3 linked regions of the Saccharomyces cerevisiae S288C genome follow. Changing the gene in region 3 together with the main gene of any one other region gives a genetic interaction. Each region holds a gene or a part of one and is shown on either strand. Other genes may lie near its edges.

Region 1 (9,237 bases), on a different chromosome or scaffold from region 3:
AATGGCCATTCCAACAAGAAACCAAAAGATTTTGACTGGGCCAAGTTTCCCGTGGCATCTAGGGCACTGTTAGATATCTATCAAGATAACATTGTTAAATCACAGAACGCGGAAGTTGTTTTCAAGATGTTCAAATTTCAGATCTTTGCCAAGCTGCAAGAAGAATATAAGCATTTGGCCGATTGGTTGGGAACTGTAGGTAGAATGAAGTTTGTCCGTCCCGGTTACAGACTATTAAACTCTGTAGACCGTCGATTGGCACTTGCAACTTTCGACAAATTCAAGGACACGTATCATCCAATCTGTAAAGCTCTTGTGAAACAAGATTTAGGTCTTTGAAAAGGGACGTGTCGTAACATGAATACGTAAACAATTAAATATAACCTACTAATGAGCCTTCATTGCTACTTCTCTGGTTCTAATTAGTGGCGGAGTTCTGTGTCGTGCGATACGAATTTTGCACTTTTGTCACATGCAATCGAGGCAAAAAGAAAAAATAAATAATAACAACGAATATAAATACAAATCGAAAGAATTCAGATTGAATTCAATATTGCAGGGCTTTGAACACTGAGTTTGGAACTATCAGCCGTCAAATACGCATAAAATAACATCAAATACTCCAATAATGAATCAGTTAGGAGCTTTAGCCGTAAGTTCTAAATTGTAAACACATTTGCATCATTGAAAAACTATACTAACGCGTTAACCTTTTTTCTATATTTCTATAGCAAGTTTCACGTTTCACTCAAAACTTCTCCATGGAAAATATTAAGAGCGAGTTCCAATCCTTGCAATCTAAATTAGCAACCCTTCGCACCCCGCAAGAATTTTTCAATTTCAAGAAAATTTCCAAACCTCAAAACTTTGGGGAAGTTCAATCCAGAGTGGCGTATAACCTGAAGTACTTTTCCAGTAACTATGGTTTGATTATTGGTTGTTTGAGCATTTACACATTATTAACAAACTTGTTGCTACTCTTTGTTATTGTTCTAGTCGTAGCTGGTATTGTTGGTATAAACAAACTAAAGGGTGAGGAGCTCGTAACTCCATTTGGTTCTTTCAAGACCAACCAACTATACACCGGACTGGTTTGTGTTGCTGTGCCAATAGGTTTCTTAGCTTCGCCAATCTCAACTTTGCTATGGTTGATCGGTGCTTCTGCCGTCAGCGTTTTCGGACATGCATCATTGATGGAAAAACCCATCGAAACTGTATTTGATGAAGAAACTGTTTGAACACTCCTACAAGTGTTGGGAAAAGGAGTCATTCTTTTCTATTGTGTATTTTACTCTTCTTCAATATTTAGTTAATTCTTGTCTTTTATTCTCTTTCTCCGTCAACATTAGTATTTAATTGTATACAGACACCATTCATAATTGCAGTTAGCTTCTCTGTTCTTTCTCATTCCTAGGATTTACAATGCAGTCTTACCTTATTTGTTTATGTTTTTTTCGTTTATCAAGCGTGCAATCAATTACTGAAGATTCACGTGCCAAAACGTAAAAATAATAATAACATAACCCGAGAGAGGCAAGATTAGAATCAATTCATCTTTTCAAACAAATGGTTATATCGACTAAGCGAAGTGATTAGATGGTGTACGTCGCAGATATTCAACAGTGACGAATTATATGCGATTGTAAGATTGATTGGCAAATCGTATTCCATTACTACTATTAACAACTGATGGCATCTAGAAGGTAAAAAGGGTCAACGTAGATGAGGTAGAGTTTGAGCTTAGGGCCCTGCCGAGTTTTCATTAGAAGACCTCTACTACACTTCAAAATGAAATACCCCTGCATCACCAGATTCATCAACCTAAACGTACAAGACGTATGAAACACGTATGAAACAGTTGTTGCGAAAAAAACAAGATTAAGTATTTTCAAAGCCCCGGTTGCCTTGATGAACCTAAACGTATAAATAGTTGAGCAATCAGTTTAGCTCCGAAGATCTATGCTTCCACCCTTTAGTCAGATTTAGATCCTATATAGATTATATGGGATAAGTAACATTCCGTCAATCAAGCTGCTCTTCTGACAGGTATTAATATTGTTAAGACGGCTAGTATTGACTAACTTCATGACACAACCACTGTTGTATCTCAAAATGAGATATGTCAGTATGACAATACGTCACCCTGAACGTTCATAAAACACATATGAAACAACCTTATAACAAAACGAACAACATGAGACAAAACCCGACCTTCCCTAGCTGAACTACCCAAAGTATAAATGCCTGAACAATTAGTTTAGATCCGAGATTCCGCGCTTCCACCACTTAGTATGATTCATATTTTATATAATATATAAGATAAGTAACATTCCGTGAATTAATCTGATAAACCGTTTTGACAACTGGTTACTTCCCTAAGACTGTTTATATTAGGATTGTCAAGACACTCCGGTATTACTCGAGCCCGTAATACAACAACCACACGAAATAATCGGGCGTGTGGTCTAGTGGTATGATTCTCGCTTTGGGCGACTTCCTGCCTAAACAGGAAGACAAAGCATGCGAGAGGCCCTGGGTTCAATTCCCAGCTCGCCCCGTTATCTTTTTTCACCATCAGGGCGGAATTTTTTTGTTTAGCATCAATCAACCTAACCTCTCATGCTTCTCCAAGCTGAAAGAAGTAAACTCACTCTATGTACGTGTTGCAACATATATCTGCCAAAAGAATGAAAGTAGGTTCAGAACAAACAGATTGAAAGGAGACCAGTAAAACTATATGGGGGGGGTTGTTCTTCCCGCCTCCTTCTGGGATTATGAAGACGCGCTGATCTGCTATAGTTCAACGTCCTTTTCGCTTACTATTTCTGGTAAGAAATATAAGGAATTCTCGGATTAATTACTTTTCTCGAAAGGGGATTCCGAACACCTACCGGAAAAAAATAGCAGCCCTTAAGGGGAGAGTACGGCTCTTGGCATGACGGGAGGCAGGACAGCACTAAAGGCAGACTAGTCACTGAGCGCTCCAAGTTGGGTATGATAGTATCTTCAAGTTTTGGTCGAGTAGCTATTCCTCTTCTTCAAAGCCACTTACGCTTCGCCCAATAATGTCATGATTTACAAATAAACCTTCCTCTCCGAACCCTTAAAAGTAGGCAAATTGAGAAAATTTTTTGCTCGTCTTTTTTTCTCTCGTTTCGATTACCTTATTGGGAACTTCTCGAAGAACTCGGCGAAGAGGTCCAGAGGAAGATTACTGACTATCATCAAGCCTTGTTTCTTTTGGCCTCTTCAGTAAGCTGCAAATGCAGTATTGGCTTTTTTAAAAAAGAAAAAGAGAAGGAAAGCGGAAACTAGTCTTGTTGCTCTTCTAGTGCAGTTGTTGTTTGTTCATTTGTTTCTTAATAACAGTCAACGAGAAAACTTGCGCGTGCAGTAGGAAAATAAGTAGCAAATTACATTACATGGAAAACTTGCAACCATCTGTGAGCACAGGCGACCAATGAGTACTTTCAACAGTTACAGCCAGCCAAAGGAAAGCAATGATAATAGTCATAATAATGTCAACAAGAGCAAATCGCTGTTAGATATAATATTTGGTACTAATGTATCGGAATGGGCTTTTTCTGAGAATGCTTTAATGAAAGCTATGGATTTGAAAATAGAACAAGAAAAGACTAAGCAGCAATATTATAAACTTGAAAACTTGAATCGTTCGATAGAGTTGTTTAAGCTTGCTTCCAGTTCAGGTCTGCCCATAAATCAAATACATAAACTATTCAACACCGACCATGGCGTACCGGCGTCTTCGCCGATGAAGGCAGGGGGCAATCAACCACATAACAATACAGAAGGCACGCAATCTTCAGAAAATCTGCCCAGATTGAATGGTTCTATGAAGTCATTAAAACCTCTAAATATGAACACAGTGTCACCAACTCCAATGAGTCGACAGCCCTCTCCATATAAGTTTCCAGCATCATCCTCTACCGGCGGTATATCACACTCCACAGTTACAAATGTACAACGAAGAGCTAATTCTCCTGCAAGAATAGGTGCATCCGCAGTTGCTGCGTTGAATGACAATATTTCCATTAAGGAGGAAGATGTGGCTAGGCGAATTCCCTCTGGTACAAAATCTCAAGAATCGCCTTTAAACAAGAAGCCGACTTCTCTTCACAGCCGTAACTTGTCACTTCCAATAGGAAAGTTCACCAATCCTAATATTCCTTCTACAATGACATCCATACTAAGTTTCAATAGAGACCAACAGCAGCCGCTATCTCAACCACTGCCTCCTCCTCCACAACAGCAACAGGATCTCCACACGCACAATTTACATACTATACCAAGGAAACCTGGAATGGTTCAAAAAAAGCATAGGCGTGCAAGATCCACATCCTCCTTTGGAGTGATCGATTTAAGTATTATCGATGAAGCAAAAGAAAAACAAGTACAGAGATCACCATCCCCTATACATTCTAACGTGTCCGTAGCACTTACCTCACATGACAAACCAATTGAATCCAATATGAAGGAACAACCAAATATGCTGCAATCGGTTCGTGAAGGACGTCAAGTACACGATGACTTGGATGACAGAACATGCAGTGAAAGCAGTAGTAGAAACGAAAGCCCCGTAAGAACCATCACAAAGGATAATTCTGTAGGCAAGATTTTAAATAGTACTTGAGTGATCATTATTTTCTTTTTGATGTTCCCCCTACGTATGTATACACCCATATATTATATAGATACCCGCCGCATACCAACATAAAAAAGGTAACAAATATTTGAGATATAGAGCATCGCTACATTATGGGCAAGATGCGTCTTTGTGAGACGATTTTAAACAGAAGTTGTTCATCTCTCAGTGATCAATACCTATCAACATGTCAAATTCATCAGTGGAAAAATTTAAAATTTCGAATACCTGATCCTTCTTGTTCGGATACAAATGAATCAACAGTTTCCTGAAGATATTATAAAATAGCGACAACTTCTTGAAACATTCATCGCATATTTCATCAGCTATCATTGGTGACGTTAATTTAAATAGTAAATTACCTTGAACATCTGTTAACGCCTGAGGTAGATAATAGTTCAACTTATCATGCACATTTTTTCTGACCATGTCTAATTCCATCAATGAATTATCCCTCAGGGCTAAGTACATATCATAATCCAATTCATCCTTTACTGAGTCCACAGGAAAAATCATATTGACCAAATTGCTGTAAAGGTCTAAACCTGTATTCTCAAATAGGAATTTTATTTGTAAAGTTAGCATTTGCTTAGTATATTCCTTCAGTTTATCACAAACCCAGATGGTGATTTTCCGGCTGTCATCATCTTGTGCAAACAATCCCTCAAAAGGTTGAAGTCTAGATTTAATTAAATCGAAACAGTTTATCTCTATAGTTAGCAATGATGCCTTTTCTTTTTCATTTTTTTTCGCCAAAGGAAAAGATGTTTGCAATTGTTTTAACAGAACATCTTTTATTGGTTGTTCTACAATTGTTTGTAAATTCTTAGATGAGAGCAATTTATTATCTTCTGATTCCTCATCTTCGGCAGCATGTGTCTTTTCATAAATTTCAAATAACTCTACCAATTTATTCATATACTCTGATAGCCACTCTGGTGGCAGTAAATCATCTGAAGAATTTTTTGTTTCCGCCATGACTGTTTGCTTCATATAGTCTTCATAGTATCCAATAATTCTGTTTTTGGAAATGTCTTCCAACGACTTTAAATTGTTAATAATAGAACTATCGTCCTGAATTCCCTTTCTCTCGAACATAACTCTGTAAAGTTTCAGCAGCCTCACAATCTCGAAATTGATGATCGGATTTTCTTCAAACCTCACGATTTGCTCGATACGAATACGACACGAATTGGATAGCGACTGGATGATATCGTTCAGCAATTTGTTGTCGATGCCTTTCAAGAATGTCTTGTTTTGTTGAAGTATAGAAATTGGGGTATCTTTTAAGTCTTCATCCTGAAAGTCAAATAGTGACTTCACGAAATCAGCTTCATTTGCGATGATGGAATGAACGGACGCTAGTACGTCACCAATATACCTAATTGGATCGTGTGCCGATAATATGATGGGTTTAGAGGTAGTTGAATTCATATCGAATTGAGACAAAAACTCATCCAGAATACTCTTGGATCTCAGTGTGGTCACTCTTTTCAACAACTCATTAAATAATTCTAGATCACTTGACAGGAAGACCAGACTCTTCCGAAAAATGTTTAAGCTTTCTTGTTCAGTAGTACCATGGTCATTTAATAAATTTGAAGAGGATTCAAAACTATATAAAAAATCGATCAAATAATTGAAGATTTTTTTGTTTGTCTTTTCTAAAATTTCATTAACTCCCATTATCAAAGCATTTCCAGCATTCAAATTAGGAAGCGTCAGCAAGAAACTTGATTCATCTTTAATATTGATTACTTTCTTTACTACCTCGAAAAAGATGTTGTCTATAGTACCATTGGTGATTACATCGTCCTCTACCTGATTCAAAGTAAACCTATCCCTTATAGATAACAGTATTTTTTTTTTCAGCTTCAACTGCTCTGCCTTTAAACGGTATTGATCTATTTCCTGAAGTACCACGTTATTTGTTGGAACCTCATTTGTCTCATTACTTAGTAATTTTTCGCTCGTTCTTTGTATTTTTTCGACGGAAGAAGATAATCGTTTAATCCTTCTAATGATAGGTTTGAATTCCTCAAGTACCGTAATATGTTCCTTTAGCAGTTGAGATTCCAAATCAGTCCTCAATGCTCTTCTTGCCAAAGTACCTACATATTCAGGATTCATGAGCTTTTGTTCATCAAGGGACAATCTCTCTTTATTCTCTTCTAGAACCTTTAGGGATTTTCTTAGTTGGACTGTGGCCTGATAGTTAATCAATGTGTAATTGTTCAATATCTTGGATAGTTTATTCGAAAGAACCAAATTTGTGGTATTTTTGTTGGAACCACTTGACGGGGATACTAATTTTGATAAATCAAGGTTTTTTGGCTCGTAATTCGTGAAATTTTGAGATTCTTGCTGCGATAGTTTTTCATCCTGGGAATTTTGCCCTAATTGTTTGCTTGGATTTGAAAGCTGTATTTTATCAATGGAAGACATTGCGTAATGTGTCATTTTCTTATGTAGGTCTTTCGAACCAGCACCATCATTATCTACTGGCAAAGTTGCATTATTATTGGAATAACGTTGAAGGTCGGGCAACTTAAACTGTAGATCTAGTTTACCGGTGGGCTGTGACTGTGCATCTGAGGTTAAGTTTAGTCTTGGCTCAGGTTCTGGTAATTCTGGCGTGGCAGTATCCGCCATTGCGTAGGTCTGATAGTCTACAACGAAATCCATTGTGAGTAAACTTCACTGGGGATTTTGTTACGATAATGTACAATATACTTCAGATACTACAGCTTTCGGATGAATATTTACTAGAATGAATTACTACCTTAGATGTATATTTTGTATGAAAGCGTCATTACGCCAGTTGTATGTATTTTGTCGTCTGAGACGGCAGGTGATATATAAGTAAAATGGAAGTATAAACGAACAGAAAGCAATCATTAACAATTTACTTATAGATTTCGACTAACATACGCATCGGTAGGATTAGATACCAGTTTTTGAAATCCAATTTTTCCCTCGTATATGGAATGTGCTGAGAGTTTTCCTCAGGGATATGCGTATCAACAAAAGAGAGGTGGTAATACATGCAATCATATAGCGGTTTGTTTCTTTAATACTATATGTTGTCACTTATAATCCTGTTATATTATTGATCTTTAGGTTTCAGCTGATCCTTCTAATATCCCTCTATTGGTTTCGTAATTCGTGTTATCCTTTAAGAAGATCCTAGCGACATAATCATACTATCAACTGTTATGTTACCGTTTGGTGAACAGTTGGCTTTTTGCTCCGGCATTTTTGATTAAAAATAGGCTCTTGTTAAGCTACTGGAATTTTTCTATATTACCAGGCTACTCTTGATATGGCACCGGAATGTAATAGGAGTTACAAGACCATTTCAAGTTAAAGAAAAATTACTGGAAAAAGGGTAGTAACGTACGTGGACGAAATAAATAAGAAGGACGTAAATTTAATACAAATGCACAAGTAAAGTTATCGGCTCCTATTCTTCACTAATTCCATGCATATTAAGAACTGCTGGAATAAGAATTGACCGTTGCTTATTGACTAGTGGCCATGTTACTAGTATACCTATCACACACAATGTAAGAAAGTGACATAAGCCATGAGATACAATCTCAAATCTAGTAAAAGCCGAAATACAAGAACTGATGATGTAACAGAGTAATGCATAACAACGTGCAATGCAAAGGAAGAAATAATAGTGTTATTACGTAGGACATTGATTTCCTGTCATGACTATTATATCCTCAATGAGCGCATATAATGCATTCTGTATATTCAATAATACCACCTTATCAAATAACGAATACCATCGATTATCAGTAAATTCATGTATCACTCGCGTAAATTCTGAAATTCAGCCCACTAGGAAGACGTTTATATCAGTTTACTTTTGTACAAGTGACTTATTGCAAGCAATTTGTACGAAATATGCTTACACTTTTCATTAGTAAAAGAACCAACCACCCATCATTAACATCTTTTTATTTTTTATCCTTATCGTGTAAAAAAAACTTAAGAATAGACATCCTGGTGACGCATATCGACGAAAGCACACAACAGCGTCAAAAATTGATTAAAAGGTAAGTTATCATGCCCACACCTATGACGCCTGTCAAGGTCGGCGCTTTAGCCTGCCAGAGGAACTCATTTCTCTTCGATGGGTTCAAAACACTGGTTGTTTCTTGCGAACCAACGAAGAATAAAAAGGGAGAGATTGAAGGTTATGAGATTGAACTACAAGATACTATTCTGTTCCCCGAAGGTGGGGGCCAACCAAGTGATTCTGGTTTTTTGAAAATTGTTGAAGGGAATCGTAATTCGTCGAAAATTGAGAAGATATTAGTTTCACACGTTTCTCGTTTCGGTTTACATGCAAAGCATCATGTCAATGACTACATTGAGCCCGGAACAACAGTGGAAGTGGCCGTGGACGAGCAAAAGAGAATGGATTATATGCAACAACATACTGGTCAACACTTGTTAAGTGCCATTCTGGAACGCAACTACAAAGTAGACACTGTATCTTGGTCGATGGGTGGTATCATCACAAAGAAAAAACCTGTTCTAGAGCCTAGCGACTATTTCAA
Region 2 (7,252 bases), on a different chromosome or scaffold from region 3:
TGAAAAGGCTAAAATAAAATTAAGATAGTAAAGTTCACTCTTAAACTAATCAAGCATGAATAATACAAAATAAATATTTGAGCCAAAGGGGATGATTTAATTATCAAGTTTTTCTTTTCATACTTCGGTTTACAAGCATTGTTTACGGCTCTTCTTTTCTTAGTTCTTGGCAGTTTGTGTTTTCTTGATGAGAATAAGAAAAGTATCGATCTTACGGCAAAACATAAATAAAACACAACTTTATCTTTTTTTGTCGCAGTAGTGTGGTCCTACAGCTCCAAGCCTGCCGCTTTTAAAATAGTGAGCTGTGCATACTGATATATGTTCTATTTTACCCATTTGAGGGGCCTAAATTGTCTATTAATTTTTTTACTTTAATACAGTTTGTATAGAAACATGTGGCACTAACAGCTTTATCCGCCCGCAGAAAAGATAAAAAAAAAGGGTTTTTACCCGGCAAAGAAGCTTCTCCATCATTTGTCAGGGGGAAAAGAAAATTAGGAGGCTCAGGCCCTAGAAGCGCCCTCCACGCTTTTTAAACAAATGCTAATCTTCATAATTCATTATCATCGCCACTTGGCATTGCATTTAATGGGCGCCTTCCAAAAACATTCAAATAGTATCAGCCCCCCCCCAAGGAAAGGCTTTATTTGAATTGCGTTAAATATTCGATTTCTTTCTAGCAATTATTACCAAAATAAATTGCAGGCTTAACGAAAAATTAAATAATCTCTTCAGATTTTTTCACTTCCCCAAACTACATTTTAGTCAGGTTGGCACGATTCAATTGAGAAGGCTTAGGTTAAGAATAAACATTTTTTCATAAATTTGAGGAAGAAGGGGCTTTTCTGGTAATTTTCATTCAATAGAAAGGCTTAAGAAAACGTCAAAAAACTCATGCGCCTCCAGTAAAAACTAAGTGTATTAAGAGAATTGTATCACATATATACGACATTGAATTAAAGAAATAAAACTTGAACAAATAAAGTTTAGAAAAGTGGTTCTAAAAAAAAAAAAACTGTGTGCGTAACAAAAAAAATAATGTCTAGACAAGACGAAAATTCTGCTTTACTAGCGAATAATGAAAATAACAAACCATCGTATACGGGAAATGAGAACGGAGTCTACGATAATTTCAAATTATCAAAAAGTCAACTTTCGGATCTTCATAACCCTAAATCAATAAGATCATTTGTCAGATTATTTGGATATGAGTCTAACAGCCTCTTCAAATACTTGAAAACAGATAAAAATGCAGGCATTTCTCTTCCAGAAATATCAAATTATCGAAAGACAAACCGGTATAAAAATTATGGCGATAATTCACTTCCTGAAAGAATACCAAAGTCTTTTTTACAATTAGTATGGGCTGCTTTTAATGACAAAACAATGCAATTACTGACAGTCGCCGCTGTTGTTTCCTTTGTTTTAGGTCTATACGAACTATGGATGCAACCTCCACAGTATGATCCTGAAGGAAATAAAATTAAGCAAGTTGACTGGATTGAAGGGGTTGCTATCATGATTGCGGTCTTTGTGGTAGTTCTAGTGAGTGCCGCTAACGATTACCAGAAGGAGTTGCAATTTGCAAAGCTAAATAAAAAGAAGGAAAACCGTAAAATTATAGTCATAAGAAATGATCAGGAAATATTAATTTCCATTCACCACGTTTTAGTCGGTGATGTCATTTCATTACAAACCGGTGATGTTGTCCCCGCTGATTGTGTTATGATATCAGGGAAGTGTGAGGCAGATGAATCATCCATCACTGGTGAATCTAACACAATACAGAAATTTCCGGTGGATAACTCATTAAGAGATTTCAAAAAATTTAATTCTATCGATAGTCATAACCATAGCAAACCATTAGATATAGGTGACGTTAACGAAGACGGTAACAAGATTGCTGATTGTATGTTGATTTCAGGTTCCAGAATTCTCTCTGGCTTGGGCAGGGGTGTCATCACGTCCGTGGGTATAAACTCAGTTTACGGTCAAACCATGACTTCATTAAATGCCGAACCTGAAAGTACTCCATTACAGTTACATTTGAGCCAATTGGCTGATAATATATCCGTTTACGGTTGCGTGTCTGCTATAATTCTTTTCTTGGTCCTTTTCACTAGGTACTTATTTTACATAATACCTGAGGATGGCAGGTTCCATGATCTAGATCCCGCTCAAAAGGGTTCTAAATTTATGAACATTTTTATCACATCTATCACGGTTATTGTGGTGGCTGTTCCGGAAGGTTTACCATTAGCTGTAACTTTGGCCTTAGCGTTTGCAACAACAAGAATGACAAAAGACGGTAATTTAGTACGGGTTTTAAGAAGCTGTGAAACGATGGGATCTGCTACTGCAGTGTGCTCTGATAAGACTGGCACTTTGACAGAAAATGTCATGACTGTCGTTCGTGGCTTCCCGGGCAATTCTAAATTTGATGATAGTAAATCGTTGCCCGTTAGCGAACAAAGGAAGCTGAATTCTAAGAAAGTTTTTGAAGAAAATTGTTCGTCATCCTTGAGAAATGATTTATTAGCCAATATTGTCCTGAATTCTACCGCCTTCGAAAACAGAGATTATAAGAAAAACGATAAAAATACAAATGGTAGTAAAAATATGTCAAAAAATTTGAGTTTTTTAGATAAGTGTAAATCTAGATTATCGTTTTTTAAAAAAGGCAACAGGGAAGATGACGAGGATCAATTATTCAAAAATGTCAACAAGGGTAGGCAAGAACCCTTTATTGGCTCTAAAACGGAAACAGCCTTACTCAGTTTGGCAAGATTATCATTAGGATTACAACCGGGAGAATTGCAATATTTGAGAGATCAACCGATGGAAAAGTTTAATATCGAAAAAGTTGTTCAAACAATTCCGTTTGAAAGTTCTCGTAAATGGGCCGGCTTAGTGGTAAAGTACAAAGAAGGCAAAAATAAAAAACCATTTTACAGGTTTTTCATTAAAGGTGCAGCAGAAATTGTTTCCAAGAATTGTTCGTACAAGAGGAATTCAGATGATACTTTGGAAGAAATCAATGAGGACAATAAAAAAGAAACTGATGATGAAATCAAAAATCTTGCGTCCGATGCTCTCAGAGCCATAAGTGTTGCCCACAAAGATTTCTGCGAATGTGATAGCTGGCCCCCTGAACAGCTGCGTGATAAAGACTCACCAAATATAGCTGCTCTTGACTTGCTATTTAACAGTCAAAAGGGCTTAATTCTAGATGGTTTACTTGGGATTCAAGACCCTTTACGTGCAGGCGTTAGGGAGTCAGTACAACAGTGCCAACGTGCTGGTGTAACTGTGCGTATGGTTACTGGTGACAATATATTAACAGCAAAAGCAATCGCGAGGAATTGTGCGATTCTTTCTACTGATATTAGTTCAGAGGCTTATTCTGCAATGGAAGGCACTGAATTCAGAAAGTTAACGAAAAACGAACGTATAAGAATCCTGCCAAATTTAAGGGTCTTAGCAAGGTCTTCGCCTGAGGATAAAAGGTTATTAGTAGAAACATTGAAGGGGATGGGAGATGTTGTTGCGGTCACTGGCGATGGTACGAACGATGCTCCAGCTTTAAAGCTAGCTGATGTTGGTTTCTCAATGGGTATTTCCGGTACGGAGGTTGCCAGAGAGGCTTCTGACATTATTTTGATGACTGATGATTTCTCAGCTATTGTCAACGCTATTAAGTGGGGAAGATGTGTTTCAGTCTCCATAAAAAAGTTCATACAGTTTCAATTAATTGTTAATATCACCGCAGTGATTTTAACGTTCGTTTCATCCGTTGCATCTAGTGATGAAACATCAGTACTGACGGCGGTCCAACTGTTATGGATCAATCTAATCATGGATACTCTAGCAGCTTTAGCTTTAGCCACTGATAAACCCGATCCAAATATCATGGACAGAAAACCTAGGGGCCGCTCAACTTCTTTGATTTCTGTGTCAACTTGGAAAATGATTCTATCACAAGCTACATTGCAGTTGATAGTTACTTTCATTTTGCATTTTTACGGGCCAGAGTTATTCTTCAAGAAACATGAAGATGAAATAACAAGTCACCAACAGCAGCAACTGAATGCCATGACATTCAACACTTTTGTTTGGTTGCAATTTTTTACCATGTTAGTATCGAGAAAATTAGATGAAGGTGATGGTATATCAAACTGGAGAGGCAGGATTTCTGCCGCCAATTTGAATTTCTTCCAAGACTTGGGTAGAAACTATTATTTTCTCACGATCATGGCGATCATTGGCAGCTGTCAAGTTTTAATCATGTTTTTTGGTGGCGCACCATTTTCTATTGCCAGACAAACCAAATCAATGTGGATAACCGCGGTACTGTGTGGTATGTTGTCTCTAATCATGGGGGTGCTAGTGAGAATCTGCCCCGATGAAGTAGCAGTGAAGGTATTTCCGGCTGCTTTCGTTCAAAGATTCAAGTACGTATTTGGACTCGAGTTCCTCAGAAAAAACCATACTGGAAAACACGACGATGAAGAAGCGCTGTTGGAGGAATCTGATAGTCCAGAGTCCACCGCCTTTTATTAATAGACGCGCTCTATATGTTTATACAAATGTAAGTGACCAAATGAAAAGATGTGTGTAATAGTTATATTTTCAAAATTGTACACTATATTATATAATCAATAAAAAGAAACTATCTGAAATAGCATGTCCTCCTAAACAAATTCCTTTTTACCCTTTTATGCATTACAAGTGGACCAAAAGGACTGGAAATGGTAAAAAGAAATAAGAATTTAAACATGCTATAAATTTCTTTTGTTAATTGCAAATTTTTTGTTTTTATCACCGATTATGATATCATACCATCGTCAATATTCTTGGTTGATAAATAACTTTGTGCTTTTGATTTTATGCTCTCCGAAAAGTTGCTATACTCAGCAAAGAACTTATCTAGGCCTTTAAACAGACATTTCAGTTCAGAAAGTGAATCAATTCTCCCAATCAAATCCTTGTTTGTTTCATCTTTAGCCTCGTTATCAATCGCAGAGCTTAAAGATTCATCGATTGTATCCTCTAATGCTTTCAATGATGTTCTAAAATCTGTTATCGAAAGATCTGTCCCCGTGCTGGTTGTATTATTTTCTCTAACTGTCGAAATATTCGTAACGGTCCTAACTTGTTCCAGGTAATATACCACTTTTTCAATTCTCTCCTTAATCAACATTAAACTTTGCAGTTGTTGCCTCACATTGGTATTGCGATTATTTTCGTTATCTAGATCGCTTAGTTTCTCAGTTACATTATGCATTCCTGTTTCTAATGCTCTTACAGCACTTGCCAACGTATCTAAGTAATATTCAAGCTTCGATGATTTTAAGGATTCAGTAGAATACAATGAGGAATCGTTCTGTTCTGCTTCTTTGTGATACCTAGAAGATGCCCAAGTTCTTGGTAACGTTTGAGATAATTTATCCAAATTCCATATGGTGCTTTCCAACTCTTTTGTAAGGTTCTTTGTGTAAAAATCCAACCTGGTTAATAGCAATGAGGATACTGATTGCGTTTGAATCTGATCTTCGTTTAAGGCATTTGATAAGAGTATATCAACGAATGCATGGGGAACGAACTCCTCATCAAAAAACATACTCAATATATCATCATCATCACCCGTAATTGTCAACTCTACCATATTCTGCTTAGTTTGGCCTTCTTGTTCTTAGTGAATTGTTCTATTTTAGACATATTTCATATGGAAATAAAATGCATTATCACCCTCAAAGCGCATTACGCCAAGCTCATGCAGCGAAGTGAACTTTTTTGAAAAAGTTACTAGTACGAAAGAGGTTAAGGATTACTTAAGTTATACAAAGCGCAGAAGTTGTTTTTTCCAACTTCAAGCACCTCCCCATTTGATTCATCATCAGAAACGTAACAGAATTGGCTGACCTCATCGTCATTGGAAACTAAAAAGGTGGGCGTCTCAAATTCAATAGCGGGCCGTTCACTTTCTGGGTCTGAAATAATGTCAAGCTTAATACTGGTGTCGAATCCAGAAGATACAAATAAGGCTCCGGCTGCAAAGTAGACATTGTTTATTGGGGTGCCTTCATTAATTAAAAACTCACCAACTGGGCATTCCGGTGATCTTAGATCCCATTGAGCTAGCATTCCATTTTCATATCCGGCATAAATATAGTTTGCATTATTGCCATCGACTGTCAATGAATTACATGAACATGTGAACTTGCTTGGGAGTTGAATAGTTTGCTCTTTGGAAAATACATTATGTACAGTAATAACACCAGAAACGTGACCAGCAATCACATATTTTCCATATGTTCCAAACTCTAGATTATTTTTCTTGGAAGTAGAAATTTCATGTAATTGTCTGTCTGTCCCTACGAACAGCGCTATGCTGTTAACACCATCATGCGGGTTTTCTTTTCTGTTAAACGTGTGAATTGTCGTTCCTGTGCCGCACTCCCAAAGGCGAATTGTACCATCCAAAGAGGCAGAGAGCACATTCCTTCCTCGGTCTATTATGGCAATATCTGTGACTGTCGCCCTGTGTCCAATTAACGTGCGAGGATTTGAGCCGTCTTTTACTGACCAGATCTTTAATTGCATATCCTGTGAACTAGATATCAAAGCTTCACCGCTTGGAAAAAACTTTAGTTTTGTTATTTCACTAACGTGAGCTTGGTCAATTTCTCTTTGAAGGTTGAAATTTGAATCCAATACTTTAATATCGCCTTCTGTAGTGCCTAATATGAACCGTCTCATCTGAAGTTTAGCTGTGTCTACGGCAGTATAATCCGCCCTCTTGAGCATCTTTGAACCATCTCTTATGATAGTATTGAATAAAAAATCATGTCCATCCAACCGCGCCTTGTATAAGTGGGAGCCAACCTTTTCAAATGTATTTCCTTTGCCTGCATCTACACCCCTGCTATTTCCTAACACTACTATCTTATGCTCCTTGATTTCATTTAGGTTTTTGTCAACATTGATGTAAAATTCATCGTCATTTTCATCATTTTCTTCCAGAACAGCTTTAAAATCATACTGGATATGAGCAACTGTGATGGTCTTAGTCATTGTCGTTTCTATTGTACTTCGCTATTTCTTTTTACTTTCTGCTCTTAGGGTTGAAAACTTAATTTTTCGAAGCTTCTTTTGCCGATTTCTAGATTATTCGCCCATCCTGACGCCTGTAATATGTCATGTTAAAAACATCACAAAAGTTAATAAGGTTAACTGAGCCTTATTCCCA
Region 3 (5,252 bases):
GGTTCTACAATTGCTAAGATTGACAAGAATCAACTCTGGTACATTCGTCAAAGTTACCAAGGCTACTTTGGAACTATTGAAGTTGATTGAACCATACGTTGCTTACGGTTACCCATCCTACTCTACTATTAGACAATTGGTCTACAAGAGAGGTTTCGGTAAGATCAACAAGCAAAGAGTTCCATTGTCCGACAATGCTATCATCGAAGCCAACTTGGGTAAGTATGGTATCTTGTCCATTGACGATTTGATTCACGAAATCATCACTGTTGGTCCACACTTCAAGCAAGCTAACAACTTTTTGTGGCCATTCAAGTTGTCCAACCCATCTGGTGGTTGGGGTGTCCCAAGAAAGTTCAAGCATTTCATCCAAGGTGGTTCTTTCGGTAACCGTGAAGAATTCATCAATAAATTGGTTAAGGCTATGAACTAACATTATTCCGTGTGGCAATAATCTCAATGTATAATAAATAATATTTCTCTTCATATATATGACCGGACTCGTAATAGAATAATTGACTGGAACAATAGCGCATATTGCTTTGCTTCTATACGTAGTTGAGTTTTCACTCACGTACAGCTAGAGAATCTCACATAGGAGTATCCCTGTAGTTAGTTCCGCGCGGTTCGATCACGGATATACTTTCAACAATGGCAGTATGAAAGCCTGTTATAAAAAAGAAGGAAACAATAAACGAAGTGCTTTTTTGCCTCCTAAATTATTCAATTTGACAACTGATTTCCAGCCATTCATTATTCAGTGAGGAGCGACAATGTTTGGAGTCAAGGATGCTATATTCAAGATTAAACGTTCCATTGCAGGCACAGATTCTTCTGATTCCACTGCTTACACAACGGCAAGTGAATCTTCACCTCAATTAAAAGATTCCCATAACCCCTTTCGAAATAAAACGACATCCGAGAGAACTATAGTTGAGGAGGGCTCTCTACCACCGGTGAGATTGAATGGCTACTTGCCCTCAACTAAAAATAAACTTCTTACTCCTGAAATGTGCGATGAAATAAGAACATTAATGCCCACGAGGATACAGTTGTACACCGAATGGAACCTTCTATATAGCCTTGAGCAACATGGGTCTTCATTACACTCCCTGTATAGTAACGTTGCTCCAGATAGCAAGGAATTTAGAAGAGTGGGGTATGTATTAGTAATAAAGGATCGTAAAAACGGAATCTTTGGAGCTTACAGCAACGAAGCTTTTCATCCTAACGAACATAGGCAATACACAGGAAACGGGGAATGTTTTCTATGGAAGCTGGATAAAGTACCTGATGTTAATATATCCGAAAAAGAAGAATCTGAGCAAGAAGGTAAAGAAGGTAAGGAGGAAGGGGATAAAGAGGAGAGATGGAGGTTTTCAGGTTATCCTTACACTGGAGTTAACGAATTTGCTATATACTGTACATCTGAATTTCTTTCAATGGGTGCAGGTGATGGTCATTATGGTCTTTTATGCGATGACGGCCTACTCCATGGTGTTTCAAACCCTTGTCAAACATATGGCAATGAAGTTTTGAGTAAGGAGGGCAAAAAATTTTCTATAGTAGCTTTGGAAGTATGGCGTGTAGGATAGTGTCATCTATTTAAATATCATACTATGTATTTATGAATGAGAACCTCATGATTGTAAACGAGAAACACTCCTTTAAATAGCCTAAACCGTATCCTCAGTAAGAAAAACTAGAAAATACGGTCCTAATACTTGCATGTGTTTTATGAGTGACGAAATAAATAGGAAAAGAAAAATATTTTAATACAAACTATCATTTATTGAAATGCTCTTTTTCATTTTCTTCATTAAATCATTGTATGCAGGCTGGGAAAAACAACCTTGCAATCTCCCAATGTGAAAAAAAAAAGAAAATGAAGATACGAACATACCTGAAGTGGGAAAGGCAGTTGCCACAACCAGAAGAGCATAACATATTGTCATGACCTCTTTATATGCACCTGGGGCGGAGGATATTCGGCAAAGGTTACGTCCTTTTGGGTTTTTCTTTGAGAAATCACTAAAGGATTTGATTAAGGGTATTAGGTCTCACAACGAAACACCAGAAAAACTGGATCAATTCTTTAAACAAGTATTAAGTGAATGCCGGGAAGAAGTGAACTCTCCAGATCTAAATTCTAAGACCAATGCCGTTCTTAAATTGACCTATTTAGAGATGTACGGTTTTGACATGGCTTGGTGCAACTTTCATATCTTAGAGGTTATGAGCAGTAATAAACTTCAACAAAAACGTGTGGGGTATTTGGCTGCATCACAATCTTTTTACAAAGATTCTGACATTTTGATGCTTGCAACTAACTTGTTGAAAAAAGACTTAAAGTATGACGGAAACAATGATGTTGTTAAAGTTGGCATTGCTTTAAGTGGTCTTTCCACTATAATTACACCCTCATTAGCAAGAGATATAGCTGATGATTTGTTCACTATGCTAAACAGCACAAGACCGTACATAAGAAAGAAGGCCATTACCGCACTATTTAAAGTTTTTCTGCAATATCCAGAGGCTTTGAGAGATAATTTTGATAAGTTTGTTTCAAAGCTAGACGATGATGATATATCTGTGGTTTCTGCCGCTGTCAGTGTTATTTGCGAGCTATCAAAAAAAAACCCCCAACCATTCATCCAGCTTTCACCTTTATTATACGAGATATTAGTTACCATTGACAATAACTGGATAATCATTAGATTATTGAAGTTATTCACCAACTTATCACAAGTGGAACCGAAATTGAGAGCCAAGTTATTGCCGAAAATTTTAGAACTGATGGAGAGTACTGTTGCAACTTCTGTGATCTATGAATCTGTCAACTGTATTGTCAAGGGGAATATGCTAGAAGAAGATGATTTTGAAACAGCAATGGCATGCCTGGAAAGATTGCACACATTTTGTGATTCTCAGGATCCAAATTTGAGATATATTAGCTGCATATTGTTTTACAAGATCGGCAAAATCAATACTGATTTTATTTCTCGGTTCGACCAACTGATTATACGCTTACTCTCCGATGTCGACGTTTCTATAAGATCAAAAGCAATTGAATTGGTTGAAGGTATTGTTGATGAGGATAACTTAAAGGCAATTGTCCAAACATTGATGAAGCAATTTGTAGATGAAGATGTGGTTATCCTACAAACTGGAAGCATCGTATACGAAAAATCAAAGAGAATTCCCATAATAATTCCAGAAAATTACAAGATAAAAATGGTGAACGTCATTATATCGATTTGTTCAGCTGACAACTATTCCAGTGTTAACGACTTTGAATGGTACAATGCAGTAATAATGGACTTGGCGATGCTCTGTCAAGACATATCTGATAAAAGCCTTGGATCAAAAATTGGTGAACAGTTTAGGAATTTGATGATAAAAGTTCCTTCAATGAGAGAAGTAACCATTGCTAATATTATAAAGCTTATTTCAAATGACAATATTAACAAACAGTTGCCTACCGTATTGAGAGAATGCATTTGGTGTCTCGGAGAATTTTCTACCCTAGTTGAAAATGGTAACGACTTAATAAAAATCATGACTGAGAATATCAGTTATTATTCTCATAGTGTACAAGAAGTTTTAATTTTAGCACTTGTTAAAGTATTTAGTAATTGGTGTAATAACTTTCAGGAGGATAAACGCTTTGAAATTAAAATGGTGTTAAAAGAGCTAATTGAATTTTTTGAAAATTTATCTTATTCGAGTACATTCGAAGTCCAGGAAAGAAGCGTAGAAGTTTTAGAATTTTTAAGACTAAGTTTGGAGGCTTTAGAGGAGGATACGGAAGGTCTACCAATGCTACTGAGCGAAGTCCTGCCTAGTTTTTTTAACGCCTATGAACTCGCACCAATTGCGCGTGGGACTCAATTGAAGTTAGCAGTAGATGAGAATCTTGATCTAGAAACTCCATTTTTGACAAAGGAGGCAGCTGATGAACTCTTAGATGAACAAAAAAGTGACGCCATCAGTGATTTAATGTCTGATATCTCAATGGACGAGCAAGTTGAACTAAAATTCGTTGATGATTCTGATACTTCGTATGAAGAAAAGGAAAAATTGGATGATTTTGAAAATCCATTTGAGATTGAGAGAGAAAAGGAACGGATGTCAAATCCTTATTATCTAGGTGAAGAAGACGAAGAAAGAACTAAGAACTCTAAAGATTTGTTGGACTTGAATGAGGAGGAAAGTAGTGATAAAAAGCCAGAAACTATTAGATTAAATAGAACCGATAATTCGTTGAATTCTCTAAGTTTATCTACAACTGAAATCAGCAGAAAGAAGAAGAAGGGAAAGAAGAAAAATAGGGTTCAAGTCTTATCCGATGAACCTGTTATCGAAGCCGCTCCCAAAAGGAAAGATGCATTCCAGAAACCCCATGATAATCATTCAACTCAAAATCCTTTGAAAAAGGACAAGATTAATCTGAGAATGCACTCTCAACTTGAAAATTTTGATTTTTCCAATTTTGGGCAATCGAGTAACGCAGGAAGAGGATCGCAGGAAGAGGGCAACCTTAGAAAGGAAGACGAGTTAGAATTAAGTCGTTTAGAGGCCAATCTTATTGTAAAAGATGAAAAGGATAATTTAAGTGATACTGAAGAAGTTATAGTTATAAAAAAGAAGAAGAAAGGGAAAAAGTCAAAGTCAAAAAACAAACTAAAAACGAAAGCAAAAAATTCTCCAGAACCAAATGAATTTCTTCGAGACCAAAGCACTGACATTTAACGATAAAAAAATCGAAGTCGTGAATTCTCAATGACAGCGATTACGTACGTAAACTATAATTAATTTAAGTATTTTATTCTGCATAGTATATTATTGCGGTGCACTCAATTTGCCGAAAGAGACGGCATATTTAATAATGACGCGAATGAATCAAAGGCCGCCAAAGGTAATCATAGACCAGAGATGATTTGCAAAATTATTTGACATACTATTGCTAGTGTAACAATAACACAGCATAACTTTGCTTAGACATATATGTCATTTAAGGCAACTATCACCGAGTCGGGGAAGCAGAATATCTGGTTTCGTGCGATATATGTGTTATCTACAATTCAGGATGATATCAAGATTACAGTGACAACAAATGAGTTAATTGCTTGGTCAATGAACGAGACAGATACTACTCTTTGTCAGGTTAGGTTTCAGAAAAGCTTTTTTGAGGAGTATGAGTTTAAACCACATGAGATTGTATTTGGAGAAAATGGGGTTCAAGTTATAGA

The links. A genetic interaction does not mean that the proteins touch.
Region 1: mutations in APL5 (region 3) and COG6 together harm fitness more than expected from each alone (negative genetic interaction), as found in Saccharomyces cerevisiae (6 studies listed by BioGRID).
Region 2: mutations in APL5 (region 3) and COG7 together harm fitness more than expected from each alone (negative genetic interaction), as found in Saccharomyces cerevisiae (4 studies listed by BioGRID).

The regions. Positions count from the first base shown.
Region 1 is NC_001146.8:544,640-553,876, forward strand, and holds COG6 (Golgi transport complex subunit COG6), read right to left. Parts: upstream 7,349-9,237; coding exon 4,829-7,348; downstream 1-4,828. Other genes in the region: LAP2 (bifunctional aminopeptidase/epoxide hydrolase), read left to right, coding at 1-339; YIP3 (Yip3p), read left to right, coding at 629-652, 732-1,238; YNL042W-B (uncharacterized protein), read left to right, coding at 2,474-2,731; BOP3 (Bop3p), read left to right, coding at 3,461-4,651; YNL040C-A (uncharacterized protein), read right to left, coding at 7,839-7,919; YNL040W (putative alanine--tRNA ligase), read left to right, coding at 8,741-9,237. UniProt on the Saccharomyces cerevisiae protein: Acts as a component of the peripheral membrane COG complex that is involved in intra-Golgi protein trafficking.
Region 2 is NC_001139.9:484,880-492,131, forward strand, and holds COG7 (Golgi transport complex subunit COG7), read right to left. Parts: upstream 5,669-7,252; coding exon 4,829-5,668; downstream 1-4,828. Other genes in the region: YGL006W-A (uncharacterized protein), read left to right, coding at 544-654; calcium-transporting ATPase PMC1, read left to right, coding at 1,042-4,563; RPN14 (Rpn14p), read right to left, coding at 5,824-7,077. UniProt on the Saccharomyces cerevisiae protein: Acts as a component of the peripheral membrane COG complex that is involved in intra-Golgi protein trafficking.
Region 3 is NC_001148.4:174,270-179,521, forward strand, and holds APL5 (Apl5p), read left to right. Parts: upstream 1-1,953; coding exon 1,954-4,752; downstream 4,753-5,252. Other genes in the region: 60S ribosomal protein uL30 RPL7B, read left to right, coding at 1-433; OXR1 (Oxr1p), read left to right, coding at 774-1,595; DDC1 (Ddc1p), read left to right, coding at 5,008-5,252. UniProt on the Saccharomyces cerevisiae protein: Part of the AP-3 complex, an adaptor-related complex which is not clathrin-associated. The complex is associated with the Golgi region as well as more peripheral structures.